Linked DNA regions of Callithrix jacchus. The protein of the gene in region 1 purifies or fractionates together with the protein of each later gene. This does not show direct contact. Links are inferred from orthologs where the notes say so. Each region holds a gene or a part of one and is shown in the gene's direction. Other genes may lie near its edges.

The links.
Region 2: the proteins of CUL7 (region 1) and LGALS3BP purify together in Homo sapiens (affinity purification with mass spectrometry; 3 studies listed by BioGRID and IntAct, with this or other methods). This does not show direct contact. The link is inferred for Callithrix jacchus from reciprocal best matches to the Homo sapiens genes CUL7 and LGALS3BP.

What each region holds. Positions count from the first base shown.
Region 1 is NC_133505.1:51,530,626-51,534,879, reverse strand, and holds the start of CUL7 (cullin-7), read left to right. Parts: upstream 1-1,376; 5' UTR 1,377-1,380; coding exon 1,381-1,531; exon of another isoform or gene 1,532-1,620; intron 1,621-2,415; coding exon 2,416-3,093; intron 3,094-3,416; coding exon 3,417-3,568; intron 3,569-3,710; coding exon 3,711-4,211; intron 4,212-4,254. Other genes in the region: MRPL2 (large ribosomal subunit protein uL2m), read left to right, coding at 792-1,004. UniProt on the Homo sapiens protein: Core component of the 3M and Cul7-RING(FBXW8) complexes, which mediate the ubiquitination and subsequent proteasomal degradation of target proteins. Core component of the 3M complex, a complex required to regulate microtubule dynamics and genome integrity.
Region 2 is NC_133506.1:134,725,464-134,729,850, reverse strand, and holds the start of LGALS3BP (galectin-3-binding protein), read left to right. Parts: upstream 1-1,554; 5' UTR 1,555-1,655; intron 1,656-3,078; exon of another isoform or gene 3,079-3,081; 5' UTR 3,082-3,086; coding exon 3,087-3,156; intron 3,157-4,095; coding exon 4,096-4,287; intron 4,288-4,387.

The sequences.
Region 1 (4,254 bases):
CACCTCGGCCTCTCAAAGTGCTGGGATTATAGGCATGAGCCACCGCGCCTGGCCAATTTTTGTATTTTTAGTAGAGATGGGGTTTCATCGTGTTGGCCAGGCTGGTCTCAAACTCCTGACCTTAATCTGCTCACCTCAGCCTCCCAAAGTGCTAGGATTACAGGGCTGAGCCACCATGCCCAACCCTAATTAATTTTTTTGAGACCGGGTTTCTATTGCTTGAGTGCGATGGCACAATCATAGCTCACTGCAGCCTCAAACTCCTGGGTTCAAGCAGTCCTTCTGCCTCAGCCCCCCAAGTAGCTGGGACTACAGGCACATGCCACTACATCCAGCTAATTTTCATATTTTTTATAGAGATAGGGTTTTACCATGTTGGCCAGGCTGGTCTTGAACTCCTGGCTCAAGCGATCTGCCCTCCTAGGCCTCCCAAAGTGCTGGGATTACAGGTGTGAGCCACTGCACCTGGCCCCGGCTAATAGTTTTTATTTTGTAGAGATGGGGTTTCACTATAGTGCCTGGGCTGGTCTCAAACTGGGCTCAAGTTACCCTCCAGCCTCGGCCTTCCAAAGTGCTGGGATTACTGGCGTGAGTCAGTGCACCCGGCTCTTCGATTTCAACTACCTTGTTCCTCCTGTAGGACCTTCACTTAGCTTCACCCGTCTTGTGCTTTTTCTTTCTCCTCTCCCTTCTCTCATTGAGTCTAAGACGCCCCCCAAGGGTTGTGCTCTAAACATTGTCAAATCTTGCCCCCACATCGTACATTCTTCTCCATCTGTTTTCTCTGTCAGGTGCTGGAAACGTGCATAGCAACAGTAGGTCGAGTATCCAACGTTGATCATAACAAACGGGTTATTGGCAAGGCAGGGCGCAACCGTTGGCTGGGCAAGAGGCCTAACAGTGGGCGATGGCACCGCAAGGGGGGCTGGGCTGGCCGAAAGATTCGGCCACTACCCCCCATGAAGAGTTATGTGAAGCTGCCTTCTGCTGCTGCCCAAAGCTGATATCCCTGTACTCTAATAAAATGCCCCACCTCCTGTTTTTATCTGTTACTGTTTTTTGCGGGGGAGGGGATGGTACAGACAGAATGTGGGGAGAAGCAGTAAAAAGTGTCGGAAGATAAAGACAGGACACTGTGGGTCTGCCCCCACCCCAGTTCCCTTACAGGTAATGGAGCCCGAGGATGGAAATTAGTGACGTCCAAGGCCTTTTCCAGTTCTGACTTTGGGAAACGGGGAGGGCACTTCCGGCAGGAGGGAGGACAAAAAGGAAGAGGAAAGGGCGGCGCAGGGAAGGAGGTGCTGCGTCGCCAAGGTGGCACCCGCAGCTCCGCCCCAGCGCTCTCCCAGGGCCCCTAGCTTTCCGCTGGGTCTGGCGGAAATGAGCCGTGGCTTTTGGCAGGCGGAGTCACTGGCAGGGACCAGGCCCCACCCTGCCCCAGTGGCTGCCGACCCACGCGGGCGCTGCTGTTCTGTTCCGCAGAGGCACACCCCCTCAGATCTCTCCGTCTGGATCCCCTCGCGGGGCCCAGGTGGGACCCAATTCGTCGTCAGCGTCTGTGCCGCGTCCCTTGCTCTGTGAAGGACAGGCCTCGCGTCAGGACCCCGGTGGACTTCTGAGGTGGCCAGAGCCCCGCTGCGGCCCCTTGCTCCTCCCCTGACCACTTGCCCGTGGATCCTCGCGCTCACTTGACCTCGGCCCCGCATCCCACCGTGTCTCGGGGTTCTAGTTTATGGGAGTTAGCCCCTCTCCCCCACCTTATAGCGCGCGTTCCAGGCTTCTCGGGTCTCCAACCTCGGTCCCCCAAGCCTCGCGCCCCTCCCCTGCCTGTTCTCCTGTGCACCCTGCCCTGGGTCTCACAGCGCCCCCACCAGCCCTCTTGCTCCGGTTGCTCCAGTCAGAGGTGCCTCCAGCCCATCGCGCCTTGCCCTCAACCACCATTTCTCGGGTCTCTTAACTCTGCGACTCACACTCCCATGTTCCAATCGTAGAGACAGCACCCTTTTCCACACACACACTCGCGATCTCCTTCCCAGCCCCCCATAAATCTACCCCTCTGGGCTTCACATGCCCCCAGGGTTGCTGCCTGTCCCAAAGTCTTGGAATTCACTTGTAAACTCCAAGGCTGCCCTGCCCCCACTGTCTGCCCACTATTCCAAACCCACCCACTCCAGGCTGCAGGGTTTTGGGGACCTTCCTTTTAGCCCCCAAATTTTGTGTTCTTTCACAACACAACCCCCGTGTTCTCTGCTTAGGCCTGCCCCCATCCAGCGTGCAGCATGCAACTCCTGGGCCTGGCTTTACCCCACCCTGCCCGACAGCTGTTGCCATTTGCTTCCCTAACTCCTGGATGTCTGATTTTTCTGACCTCTCCTTACTCTAGCTTGTCTGTTCTCTCTTCCTTGTGTGCTCCAGGTGCCAGGATGGTGGGGGAACTCCGCTACAGGGAATTCAGGGTGCCCCTGGGGCCTGGCTTACATGCCTATCCTGATGAGCTGATCCGCCAGCGAGTGGGCCATGATGGGCATCCTGAGTACCAGATCCGCTGGCTCATCCTGCGGCGTGGCGATGATGGGGACGGGGTCGCTGGCCAAGTGGACTGCAAGGCTGAACATATCCTGCTGTGGATGTCTAAGGATGAGATATATGCCAACTGCCACAAGATGCTGGGCGAGGATGGCCAGGTCATCAGGCCCTCCCAGTCTGCAGGGGAGGTTGGGGCCCTGGACAAATCTGTACTGGAGGAGATGGAAACTGATGTGAAGTCCCTCATTCAGAGAGCCCTTCGGCAGCTGGAGGAGTGTGTGGGCACCATCCCTCCTGCTCCTCTACTTCACACTGTCCACGTGCTCAGCGCCTATGCCAGCATCGAGCCCCTCACTGGGGTGTTCAAGGACCCAAGGGTCCTGGACTTGCTCATGCACATGTTGAGTAGTCCCGATTATCAGATTCGCTGGAGCGCAGGCCGGATGATACAAGCCCTGTCCTCCCATGATGCTGGTGAGGGGCAGTGTGGGGAGGAAGGGAAAGCAGAAGGGCTGGGTCGGCTCAGGGACTCACAGGACACTGTGGCAGGAGCCTCTAATCTCATCAGTACGTAAATGATTCTGTTGCCCTTCTCTTAGAGTTGGAAGAAAAGGAGGTGGGAATGGGGGTGAGGGCGGGGGGTATCTGCCAAAAGAGGAAACCCTATCTTCAAAAATCTCATGTTAATTAGTTACTTTTTATGCAAAGGAAGAATTTAGACTATTGCAGATTGTGTGTGTGTATATAAGTTAGCAAATTTTAACTTTTGAAGCAAATCAATGATTTCCCACTGTGTGGTGGCAAAAGGATTGGATTGAAAGAGTAGACGGTCCAAGATTTTAGGAAGGGTGAGGTTGGGGAGAAGTTACCGATTGGGGTGTGGGTTACAGGGACCCGGACTCAGATCCTTCTGTCACTGAGCCAACAAGAAGCCATTGAGAAACACCTGGATTTTGATAGCCGCTGTGCTCTGCTAGCACTGTTTGCACAGGCCACGCTCTCTGAACATCCCATGTCTTTCGAGGGCATTCAGCTACCACAGGTAACCTTTGGGGTGTAAGGTGGGGGGAGCTTGTGAACCAGATCTAGGGACTGAGTCTTTGCACCTGTCTACAGAGGATGGTGTGGAGAGAGGGGCTTAAAATGGGACAAGATGGATGTAGACCAAAGATTGTATCCCACAGGTCCCAGGAAGGGTGCTCTTCTCCCTGGTGAAGCGGTATTTGCATGTCACCTCACTTCTGGATCAGCTGAACGACAGTGCTGTGGAGGCAGGAACCCAGAACACCTCTGCTCCTGAGGAGTTGAGTGGGGAGAGGGGTCAACTGGAGCTGGAGTTCAGTATGGCCATGGGCACCCTGATCTCAGAGCTGGTGCAAGCCATGCGCTGGAACCAGGCCTCAGACAAACCAAGGAGCTCTGCACGGTTCCCTGGTTCCATCTTCCAGCCTCAGCTGACAGCTGTGAGCCCAGGGCTCCCCACCGCCCAGGCTCAGCCCTCCTTCAGGAGATCAAGACGGTTTCGCCCTCGTTCTGAGTTTGCAAGTGGCAATACCTATGCCTTGTATGTGCGGGACACACTGCAGCCAGGGATGCGAGTACGGATGCTGGATGATTATGAGGAGATCAGCGCTGGGGACGAGGGCGAGTTCCGGCAGAGCAACAGCGGCGTGCCTCCTGTGCAGGTGAGTGGCACACAGTGGTGGGACACTGCTGGGGGTCTATTTG
Region 2 (4,387 bases), on another chromosome or scaffold:
CAAACCTTTCCCCAGCACTTCCCAGAGATGCTTTCCTGCCCTTCCCTGGCCACTACCTGGGCAGAAGTCATTAGCACTGCCGAGAAGGGAGGATGTTGGGTTTCTGTGTCAGCTGGCACTGAGGCCCTTAATCTGGATGGGGTTTTCAAACTCCCCACAGCCTTCTCTGCCAGTTCTGTTTCCAGCTGCATCTGCCCCTGGATCTCCACAGTTCCTCTGGAGGGATCAGGCGAACCGCGCAGCTGCCTAAAACCTCACATTTTGAGGGAAACAGTCATTCAGTGTCTGTCCTCTGGGCCCGTGTCTCAGACTCTAAGCTGCCAGGGAACCAGGGATTTCCACGCGTTGGGACTGCCTGGGGGCTTTTAAAATGCCCCTGCCTGTCCCCCACTCCCAGAGATGGTGACTTCCTGGGCCTGGGCATTAGGAGTTTGTAAGACTCCCTGATGATTCTTCTGTCCAAGCCAGGCTGAGAACCACTGGTCAGAGAGACCTGGGCACATCCCAAGGCTCAACCCAGAACCATGGGTTGCAAGTGAAGAAATGAGAGGCTGCTGATTGCCTCACTGAGCGGTGAAGCCTGGGCTTGACCACAGATTAGGCCAGCTGGACCCAGGGGTGCAGGTGGGAGCATCTCTGCTTCTCTCTGCTCTGCCCCATGGGCCCCAGCAGCCTGGGCCCACATCCTCTCACTCGGAAGCCAGCTCTCACTGGGCTGGCTGGGCTCACAGCTCCACCCTGGAACCATCCATGTGGCCTGGAGGGCCCCTCAGGGCTCAGACAGCCAGACCTGGGGTGGTTGAAGGCCAAGAGCCGGGTGCCCTCTGGGAACCACACAGCCAGGAGTGGGAAGGGGTGCTCAGAGTAGGGAAAAGGAATGGGTATGAGTGGACAGAACCATTATGTCACCCCAGAGAGGCTCTGTCCCCCGCCCCGCTGAGGGGGAGACAGGAGAGCAGCCACAGGTCCAGCAGTGTGAACACAGGGTCTAGGGTCAGGTGCTGGAGCGGGGTCCAGCTCCTCCACTGGCCAGCTGCACACCTGGCTCTCAGGGCCTCCCTCCCCTGGGACAGGGGACAGTACCGCGCAGCGTTGCAGGGAACAGGCCCTCTGTGTGGTGAGCATGCCAAGAGCTCGGAGAGGGTGGATTTGCACATGAGCAACCACCTGTGCAGTGTCCACCCAGCCAGCAATGTGCTGGACCCAGGAAAGGACTCAGAGCGCTCTGTCACCCACAGGAACAAACTGTCTGGGCCCACAGCCTCTGCTTCTTCCCCTCCTGTCCCCCAAACGCCAGCCCCTGGCCGGCCTGGAGGCGTTTCCAACTGACTGTGGCTGTCAGTCTTCTTTCGGGCCTTGCTCCAGCCAGACTCCCGCCTTGGGCCTCTGCCATCCCGGCACTGACACCCACATGCAGAGCTGAGACAAAAGAGAGGGGCCCCCGGGAGTGTCGTCAGCAGCCAATCCCAGAAGGCATCTATGTCAGATGGTTTCTGGAAATCGAAACTTGACTGTTTCCTGAAGCATTTCCTGGGATCAGCCTGACCACGCTCCATACTGGGAGAGGCTTCTGGGTCGAAGGACCAGTCTGCAGAGGGCTCCTGGAGCTGGAAGCAAGGAGGCTCCAGCACAGCCATCACAGCCGCTCCAGCCAGGTAAGCTCCTGCCTCCAGCTCTCAGGTGGGCACCCCCGCCTCTCTCTCTTTTTTTTTTTTTTGAGACAGGGTCTCACTTTTTTACCCAGGTTGGAATGCAGTGGGGCGATCTCAGCTCACTGCAGCCTCTGTCTCCCAGGTTCAAGAGATTCTCCTGCCTCAGCCTCCCGAGTAGCTGGAATTATAGATGCCTGCCACCATGCCTGGCTAAATTTTGTATTTTTAGTAGACACAGGGTTTCACTATGTTGGCCAGGCTGGTCTTGAACCCCTGACCTTATGATCTGCCCGCCTCGACCTCCCAAAGTGCTGGGATTACAAGTGTGAGCCACCGTGCCCAGCCAGGGCACCCCTCTCTCTACACAGGCAAATGGGGGTCACTCCTCCCTGTTTGCACATAGGCCTGGAGCTATCCTTGCTGCTCCCAGGCCCATCTCTGTACAGTTGGGCAGATTGCTTACTACACAAGGATACCAGCCAAAGGGGCAAGTGGGCTGGAAATCAGCTTGGCCCTCTCAGGTCTGTGCATTGAGCCTAGGCCTGCACCCACCCCAACGAAGGGTACCTTTTTTTCAATTCACATGAAGGCACCCTAGGGGTCAACACAGATAGCCGGTCTCAACTTTCCATATGAAAGAATCAGGGAAATATACCCAGCCACTGCCACCCAAAGGGCAGCAATGGTGCCTGCCTGGTGCTTCATTGTCCACTTTTTTTTTTTTTTGAGACAGAGTCTTGCTCTGTCACCCAAGCTGGAGTACAGTGGTATGATCTCAGGTCACTGCAACCTCTGCCTTCTAGGTTTAAGCGATTCTCTTGCCTCAGCCTCCTGAGTAGCTGGGACTACAGGTTCACACCACCGTGCCCAGCTATTTTTTTTTTTTTTTTTTTTTGGTATTTTTATTAGAGATGGGGTTTTACCATGTTGGCCAGGCTGGTCTCGAACTCCTGACCTGAAATGATCCACCCACCTCAGCCTCCCAGAGTGCTGGGATTACAGCATGAGCCATCGCACCTGGCCAGTTGGCCATTTTTCCAAGGCCCTCGCCCATGGCCTCCTCCCGCTCCACCCTCCCCCATGCCTGTGCGGCAGCCTTGCCCGGCACCTGGTTTTCTGAGATGGGCTCACTCACTTCCAGTCACCAATTCTTGCTGTCCTTACTGCCAGGGGCCACCCCCAGCCCACCCCTTCATCTAGCCAAGTCTAACACATCTTTCCAGGACCATGCTGCAGACCAGGTGAGGAGCCCCTGTGGGGGCAACCACAGCGTCCATCACACTTACCAAGACCACAGTGGGCTCTGCAGGAGAGGTACCCTGCCTGCCACACAGCCCAGGTCGGGCTGAAGGGTGGATGGGCAGGCCAGTCCCCCGGCATCGGGCCACCGGGCTCCGGTGCCTCACTCCACCGCTTCCATCCACAGCAGGATCCATGCGTCCAGGCAAGGCCATGGTCCCTCTGAGGCTCTTCTGGATGTGGCTGCTGGTTGCAGGGACCCAAGGTGAGCTGAGTCCCTGGGAAATGCCAAAAGCAAAAGTCTGTGAGGCTGCTGCACCCTGGGTCTGTGCACAATGCCCAAAAGAGGTTGTGCCTGGGGTCTGAGGCCCGGTGGTTAGCCGAATCTTCTCTCTTCCGGTATCCTGAGTGATCATGGCTTGGAGGTTCCAGGGGCTCACCTGGGCTCAGGTGAGCTGCAGGTTATAGAGAGGACACCAGGGAATTCTCCATTCCATCCAGAGGGAACCAGAGGAGCTGATCAAAGCAGCAGTCACGGGGTGTTGTGGGGTCCATGGCCTTGGATGCAGGTCAAGCTTCCAGAGGGTCCTGGCTGCCTTTCCTCATATTCTTTACCCTGTGAGCCCCTGGAGACTCATGCTCATCCTGGGGGCCCCACAGAAGCCAGACGTGCCCCCAACTGAATTCAGCTCCTACCAGGCTCTGCCAGCTCCTGTAGGGGCGAATGTCAGTGGGCAGAGTCCCAGAAGGTCATGTGTGGGGTAGGAATCCCATTCTCTGCCCTGGAAGTATTCTGCCTGTGCTCCCAGGGGTCCCTAGGCCTGCTGTCCCCACTAGGCCAGCACCCGCAAACTGCAGACACCCTCAGGAGGGGTTAGCATGGAGCCGCCTTTCCCTCGGGGTCCTGCCACCTCCACTCCCAGTGCTGGAGAACCCAGGGCTTCTCTGCCCCGTTCTGTCTATGGAGTGAAGGGCTGAGACCCCTAAAACAAGGAACGGCATGTTTAGCCTCCATGTAGGGGGTCTGTATGTATCTTCCACTCCCCCTCACAGAGGTGCCCCTCACGGAGAGGCAGGGGGACCTTGAAGCACTGGAAAACAAGCTCAGCAGGGGAGTCCCAGGACAGCGTGGGGGCCCTAGAGGTTGGCGCGTGGGGGGGGCGCTGCAGGCTCCAGCCTCACCCTTGTTGGTCTCTCCCTGCAGCCGTGAACGATGGTGACATGCGGCTGGCTGATGGGGCCACTGCCAATGAGGGTCGTGTGGAGATCTTCTACAGAGGCCAGTGGGGCACTGTGTGTGACAGCCTGTGGGATCTGACTGATGCCAGCGTCGTCTGCCGGGCCCTGGGCTTTGAGAACGCCACGCAGGCTCTGGGCAGAGCTGCCTTTGGGCAAGGTAGGACCTGCTGTCCCTGTCCTCTGGGGCTGAGACCCACAGCATAGCCAGCTCCTGGGAGGGGTGAATCCCCTAAGACAAGACAACCAGGCTTCAAAGA